Linked DNA regions of Bombyx mori. Each later gene encodes a partner of the first gene's protein in a complex. Links are inferred from orthologs where the notes say so. Each region holds a gene or a part of one and is shown in the gene's direction. Other genes may lie near its edges. The genes, in order: queuine tRNA-ribosyltransferase accessory subunit 2 and queuine tRNA-ribosyltransferase catalytic subunit.

The links.
Region 2: the proteins of queuine tRNA-ribosyltransferase accessory subunit 2 (region 1) and queuine tRNA-ribosyltransferase catalytic subunit are in contact, whole or in part, in a crystal structure (PDB 7OVS), measured with the Mus musculus proteins. The link is inferred for Bombyx mori from reciprocal best matches to the Homo sapiens genes QTRT2 and QTRT1. Residues at the interface, in NP_001343258.1 of Mus musculus: Arg39, Thr40, Gly41, Ser42, Ala43, Pro44, His45, Leu46, Thr47, His48, Gln49, Thr50, Asn53, Glu70, His71, Glu73, Val74, Glu77, Tyr78, Phe85, Ile86, Gly87, Phe119, Gln342, Glu343, Phe345, Tyr355, Asn359, His360, Ala363; in NP_068688.2 of Mus musculus: Thr50, Thr53, Met54, Lys55, Gly56, Ile57, Thr58, Thr59, Glu60, Gln61, Ser64, Arg80, Pro81, Leu85, Lys88, Ala89, Phe95, Met96, Asn97, Ala307, Lys308, Phe310, Pro320, Thr324, His325, Ala328, Phe329, Ala332, Leu333, His335.

Annotation. Positions count from the first base shown.
Region 1 is NC_085111.1:7,106,536-7,110,373, forward strand, and holds part of queuine tRNA-ribosyltransferase accessory subunit 2, read left to right. Parts: coding exon 1-40; intron 41-228; coding exon 229-398; intron 399-572; coding exon 573-775; intron 776-2,608; coding exon 2,609-2,734; intron 2,735-3,466; coding exon 3,467-3,698; 3' UTR 3,699-3,838. UniProt on the Homo sapiens protein: Non-catalytic subunit of the queuine tRNA-ribosyltransferase (TGT) that catalyzes the base-exchange of a guanine (G) residue with queuine (Q) at position 34 (anticodon wobble position) in tRNAs with GU(N) anticodons (tRNA-Asp, -Asn, -His and -Tyr), resulting in the hypermodified nucleoside queuosine (7-(((4,5-cis-dihydroxy-2-cyclopenten-1-yl)amino)methyl)-7-deazaguanosine).
Region 2 is NC_085110.1:7,481,557-7,485,110, forward strand, and holds the end of queuine tRNA-ribosyltransferase catalytic subunit, read left to right. Parts: intron 1-100; coding exon 101-269; intron 270-1,718; coding exon 1,719-1,913; intron 1,914-2,080; exon of another isoform or gene 2,081-2,584; coding exon 2,585-2,740; 3' UTR 2,741-2,742; downstream 2,743-3,554. Other genes in the region: ccdc25 (coiled-coil domain containing 25 protein), read right to left, coding at 2,844-3,155, 3,434-3,554.

The DNA of each region.
Region 1 (3,838 bases):
TATAAAGCTTCTGAAGAACTTCAACAAAGCTCACTTGTAGGTTTGTAATTTTATCATAAACCTAACATTGTTTTTGTTTAATTTTTGTCAGATAGAATTCAATACTGAGGATTAAAGATACGCTAAAGAAGTAAAGTCCATACATGTAAAATGTATATGTATAGGATATACAATAAATTATGCAAAATAATGTAACATGTGAAGAAACCTAATTAAATATATTGATAGGTGTGATAGTTGCTGCGAACATACCACATAAATGTGAGGAATGCATCCGACATATCCTGAAATACAAAGAAACATTAGTTGGAGTTGCATTAGCTGGTCTTACTGATGGAAGCAAGGAGTCATATGAAGTTTCTCTTGATAAGCTGAAAGAAATATTCAGTAGAGTTGGTGTAAGTAAAATATTAATAATTGAATAAGGACTGTTTACACTTACGTATTTTTCTTAAGACAATAGACACATTTAAAATTATAGACAACAACAATATCAATAAATTATAGATTATAATATTGTAATCCTTATTATTACTTTATGATGTGTTTTGAAATTGTTTTTTGGGTTTCAGGGCTCACTACCAAATGATCTACTTCGTATTGTTGAAGGTTCTTGGAATCCTGCAGTCATAGTAACAGCAATAGAGCATGGTTGGGATGTGTTTGATGGTTCATATCCAATAAAACTCACAAATAAGGGACATGCATTGTCTTTAAATTTTGATGTGTATCGATATAGTGGAGATCCATGTATCATGGACCTTAATGACATTAGGTATGATAGATATTTAAGATTTAGACAAGCAGCTCGCATGATATTAAGAGGTAACTGAAGCCTGTAGACCTTAAAAACTTGGTGCTGATACCGGTGATTGTAATACATAATAAAGTAGCTTCAAGTCTTCATTATATTTGAATATGTACCTAGCATTCAAGTTAGTACAAATTAATCTTATTTGTTACCTTATTATAATAACCGGCAAACTTCTTGAGCATTTGTTGACGTAGTGGGGGTAAGTTTGCGCATGGTACACTCACGTGCAAAAACATTACTTACTCTGCGTCATAATGCAATTAAATTATTAAAATCAACATATGTATTTATTTATATATTTATTAGAACATCAACAAAACATATAGCTTAATAATTGTAATAATTTAATCTTGGGGTAAAATAGATATTCCTTCTATTAAGTCAAAACTAGAGCTGTTGCCAGGTCTTGGTTCAGTTGAAGCGAAGCTGGTATTTGTATATTTTTTTTCGTTATCATAATCTTGACCATCATCATCATCACTGTTTTCATCACCCGAATCGCTATCATCGTGATGAGTCGACATAGGGCTCATCGGCGTAGTTTACAACTCGGTCGACACGGTCTTCTTTTTTGTCTATAATTAATTATTTTTTGAAGATATTCGATTCGTAGTAATCGAATGTTACTTTTTTCAATTATCGGCTTCCGATTATTTTCTGTTTTTTTTTTTTCATCTGAAGCCTAGCTCTTTCATAATTCGTCGTAAACTTCATTCCGAGCCATTAAAATGTATATCTTCTTAAAATTTTTCGAAGCCTTTCTACGGTACGGAGTTTCGCTGCTTGTTATGTAGTTATTATGATTACAGATTGAACGAAACTATCCATTCCGGTAACTTTCTTCTTCCCTGATCTTTTCTTACCCGGAGTCCGAAACACGGCGAGCAAGCCAGAGCCTTTAGATTCGTTAATAATGCACCTAACAGTACTCACTGATGTTTTTGTTGCTTCCGAAGTCTGTTTTAATTTTTCCATATCATTCTTCCCCTGTTTTATAATGAAGCAATATACGTCGTACACAAATTTTCTACCCTTTCTTTTAAGTACTACACCACTTTGTCACGGCATAGTGTATGTTTTATAAAAAATCAACAAACACTCAACAAATAGCAATGGCAACAAAGTCCACAAGCAATTATAACAAATAACTTAACGATTAATAACGATAGACTTTCCACTGTACGCAAGCGTACTTTTGGGAGCAAGCGGAATGAGGGCGCGGTGCGGGACGCAAGGTTCGACTGATCTACCAATAACGCGCTCGATACGATTCCCCTGCCGTCGCGCCTCACCCTCACCACCAAAGTGATCTAAAATTCGGTTCTGCGCAGTCAAGGTCATTTGCTCAAGAAGTTTGCCGATTACTATAACTGTACTTCCAAATCCCATAACAGATACCAATTTTTAAAGTAAATATTTAACACATGCTCATGAATAACTTCCATGATAAAGAAGATCACATTATTAAAGAAAACGTGAAAAATTAACAAAAATATCGAATAAAACGTCATGATGTCCACCATCGCTCAGGTAAACCGTCAGCTCCGCCCATCTAGAGCATAAAAATACTTCCAATTACTGTCCCTTTGAAAAAACATTTAGTATTTTCTTAGATATTACATATTATGAATTGAAACTAATATAAAATTGTTTCTACAATTTGTGTATAATGCTATTGTTCACTAGTTGCTATGGTTAGAAACGAGTTACAATGCTGCTTTCTATTTTGACTTGTTTTATTAACTCTACTAATAAAAAATGCACAAAATGAAAGTTTTCTCACAATAATTTCAGGTATAATGAAGATTTCAAACCTATACTGGAAGGATGCGAATGTTTGACATGTAAAAAACACACACGTGCATATATTAGGCATCTTTTAAATACAAGAGAGATGCTGGCATCTGTTTTGTTGAGCATGTAAGTTATGAATGTATTGTTACATGGTTAATAATATTCGATTCAGAACTCCAGTTTTAAATTTTAATTTAATATTTACATATCGATGCTTGAAAGGCAAACGTTACTAAGCGACAATAACTGCTTTGTACATAAATGATAGGCAATAACCATATTCGATGCCCAAAAAAATTATATTTCTAAGTCTATTAAAATTATTTCAATCCTACCGCAGTAGCTAGATAGTAGTAGAATCTACTACTATCTAGTAAGCTAGATTCTACTACAGCTAGATTCGTCAAAATAAATTTTGTTTTCATGTATTTCAACTTTAAATTAGTCTACCGTAAAGTTCACGCATTGTCGCTTAGTCACGTTTGCCTTTCAAGCATCGATATTTATTATGTTATGTCAAAATAAATATATTCTTTTGTTTCCTCGCTGGATGTTTCTAAATATGTAATCTCTTCTCTACCACCGGCGTGTACCATAAATTTTTAATTTATCACTGGAAATGGAGGCACTGTAAATTTATAAAAATCGTCCACAATTATTATCATGCTGATTAGAGAAATACAACAAACACATTTTACATAACAAACAAACACTTTATAGAAATTCAAAACACAATATCAATATTTACACTGTAATTTTCAGTCACTCAATTTTGTCTTTACAAATTTTATTTGGAAAAAAAGCCACAGCTGATTTTTCCCGCCAACCAACATCTAAAAAGATAATTTGTATTTTCAGACACAATCTACATCATTTCAATGAATTCTTCGTGCAAGCTCGTCTACACATCAGCGCCTCTACGTTCAATATTTACAAGAAACACATTATAACACAATATGAAAATATAAATCCGAAATTGGATAATGAAGAAGACAAGACAGCTCCAACTCTTGTGCAGGATAAAAAGAAAATTAAAGTGAGAATTGGTGATAATGTCAAGACTGAAGTTAATGGTACAATTATAAAGTAGTTTGTATTTGTAAGTGGAGTTAGTAACTAAACATAGATAGTATTATGTAATTATGGATAGATTAATATTCTAGAATAGATTGAAACAAATTTTGTCTTAGTTCAGTGTGATGACAGCAAAATGTAAAATTTGCGTAAATG
Region 2 (3,554 bases), on another chromosome or scaffold:
AAAAAATTTAATAGTTAAAAAAACCCATTATAACCCTCATTTACTACTAAATAAAAAAAACAGCTTATACACTCACAAACTCATTTTACTTGTGTTTCAGTGGGGGTGAAGCAAAGGATGATTTCTGGCCAATGGTTAGCTTGAGCACAGGAATACTTGATAAAAACAAGCCACGATATCTCATGGGTGTTGGAGTTGCCATTGATCTTGTAGTGTGTGTGGCTCTTGGTGTTGACATGTTTGACTGTGTTTTCCCAACTCGTACAGCAGTAAGTTTATTTTACTAATTCTATAATCATAATGTTCAAATAATAAATAATACAATATAATTTGGCAGAGAAGGTCAGATCTCAACTGTTGCTGGGAAATGTTGAAGTTTGAGTAGAACAGCTTACACTCAAAGTAATAATTAAGGGAAGGCTACCAAAGTTCATATGCATTATGAATGCTGACATACTGACTTGTAACATGAGGTAGATGTATAAATTTTTTTGCAAAATGATTGGACGAGTTAACAGCCTTTTTCTTTTTTTATTGCTTAGATGGGTGGACGAGCTCACAGCCCACCTGGTGTTAAGTGGTTACTGGAGCCCATAGACATCTACGACGTAAATGCGCCACCCACCTTGAGATATAAGTTCTAAGGTCTCAGTATAGTTACAACGGCTGCCCCACCCTTCAAACCGAAACGCATTACTGCTTCACGGCAGAAATAGGCGGGGCGGTGGTACCTACCCGTGCGGACTCACAAGAGGTCCTACTACCAGTGATTACGCAAATTATAATTTTGCGGGTTTGATTTTTATTACTCGATGTTATTCCTTCACTGTGGAAGTCAATCGTGAACATATTTTGTTAAGTACGTATTTCATTCGAAAAATTGGTACCCACCTGCGGGATTCGAACACCGGTGCATCGCTACATACGAATGCACCGGACGTCTTATCCTTTAGGCCACGACGACTTCAAAATTATAATTTGCGTAATCACTGGTGGTAGGACCTCTTGGGAGTCCGCACGGGTAGGTACCACCACCCCGCCGTGAAGCAGCAATGCGTTTCGGTTCGAAGGGTGGGGTAGCCGTTGTAACTATACTTGAGACCTTAGAAATTGTATCTCGAGGTGGGTGGCGCATTTACGTTGTAGATGTCTATGGGCTCCAGTAACCACTTAACACCAGGTGGGCTGTGAGCTCGTCCATCCATCTAAGCAATAAAAAATAATTGCAGGTTAGAATATAGGTTAGAATTATATCATTGTAATGGCTGTCCCATCAGTAACAGAATGACACATGACTGCTCTGTGGCAGAAGAAGATAAGATAGATGGTGTTGCTTTACGAGACAGGCTAGCAATATTTTTTAAACGCAAAATCCACAATTTTAAATAGTTATCGAAGCCCATAGACATCATGATGTGAATGCAGCTATTCACCTTGAGGCTAGAGATTATTCTTATGAATTGTATATTAATTACACTAATTATACTTCTACAGGTTTGAATTTATTACATGATGTTATTTTTTATGCATTGAAGTTATTTATGAATATTATCAATGAGTAGGTATGGCATTACAAAAAAGTACTTGCATGCAGGATTTGAGCACCACTATAAATGCATTGCTGGATACAAATATCCTTTAGGTCATAATTAATTTTAACAACTTTCTCATCTACATGAAAATTTATATGTCTTTATTTTCCATTTTTTATATTCCAGAGGTTTGGGTGTGCACTTGTGAATAAAGGACAATTGAGTTTGAAACAAAAAAAATATGAAACAGATCTAAATCCAATTGACAAAGATTGTACTTGTTCAACATGTTTGAATTACACAAGGGCTTATCTCCACAGTATTGTAACAGTAGAAACAGTGTCTTGCCATCTACTTTCTGTGCACAATATTGCTTATCAGGTATGGTAGTGTTTTTAATTTGTCTACTATCTGACAACCCCTAATAGTAGTTCTCGGTACTTCTCATCAAAATGATATTTACATAGACAAGTGGAACTAATTAAATTTATTTGAGATTTGGGGAATTAATTATATTAAAACATGAATTGAAATAAAAAAACAATCGATTTCATGAAAATTTACACATCTGTTATAACTTTAATATTTCGTTCCTCATAAACTTATAACAGTGTCAACACAACAAACAACAAGCTGAAATTTACGATAAAATACGTGTCTCGGATAGAAAATATAAAAAGTGGTTTATGCGTGATGTAACAACTTCAAATCTGTATTCCCAATACATATATATAATCAAACAGTAGAATCTGCTAAATACACACAAATAAAAAGTAAAAATAGATTAAAAACCTAAAGCTCAATCATTGAATCACTTTCTGTCTGTTTCTTTGTTCACACACATCTCCACTCCACATGTACTGAATGGATTTCCGAATTGATAGATGGACATTAATTTGGAATAATAATGAACACAAAATTGATGAATATTTTTTTTTCATATTTACTTTAAATGTAGTCCAAACAGGTGAAGTAGCAGGTGGAAAGCCAATTTTATAATTTTATACAATGTAGGTATATTAAAATTGACTTGTAATCTTTGTAAATTGCAGATGCGTCTTATGAGGACTATGAGAGAAAATATTGAAAATGGTACATTTCCAGCTTTTGTACAACAATTTGTAAACGAAGTTTATCCCAATGGCCAATATCCTACTTGGGTTGTAAATTCACTTAGCTCAGTTGGAATAAATTTATGCCATCTTTAAAATATACTTTTATTTTTCACTTTTAAATATTTTCTATAAAATTATTAGAAGAAAAAAATGTTTTAGTGTTAATTTAATAGAAACAGGATTTGTAATATGATGGTCACATAAAATCATCGGAATCATTACCATCATAGTTAGTGGACATATTTTCCGCTTTCATTAATGTAGAGTAGCTTCTGAGTTCTGCCTCTTCCTTTTTTCGTTTTTCTTCTTCTTTCTCTTTCTCCTTTTTTTCTCTTAAAACTTTCTTTTTATCTTCTCTCTCTAATCTATCTCGATTCTCTCTTTCTTGTCTGAGGTCTGGAAATGATTCTGTTTTTGTTTTATTCAGCCTATTTACTATTTCATTATTTCTTTTGGCCACTTTCGCCTTTCTTACTTCTCTGTCTTTATGGAATGCTACTTGTCCAACCTGGAATCAATCAATCTATAGAAGTGAAAACTTTTAAAAAGTATAAGTGTGCTTGAAAAACTTATTGGGAAGGACAAAATTTAATAACTCAGTACAAATTGCCTTTGAAGAGTTTCTGGCTCTTGTACACCTAACTTCTTCAAGAAGAGCATTGAAAAAATACATCATTGGTACTTTTCCAATCAATACCATGGGTAATATTTTGATTGGTATCAAAAAAAAAAGCTTCTCTATATTAAACAGCAATTTTATAGGTCTTATAATATATTAATGCATACCTCCATTCCAGCAGTCTTCTTCAAATTTGACCACATTGTATAAACTATGTCTATGTCATTCATTTTATTGCCTAAAATGGAATTTGCTTTGACCAGCTGGCAAGCATCATCAAGAACTAAA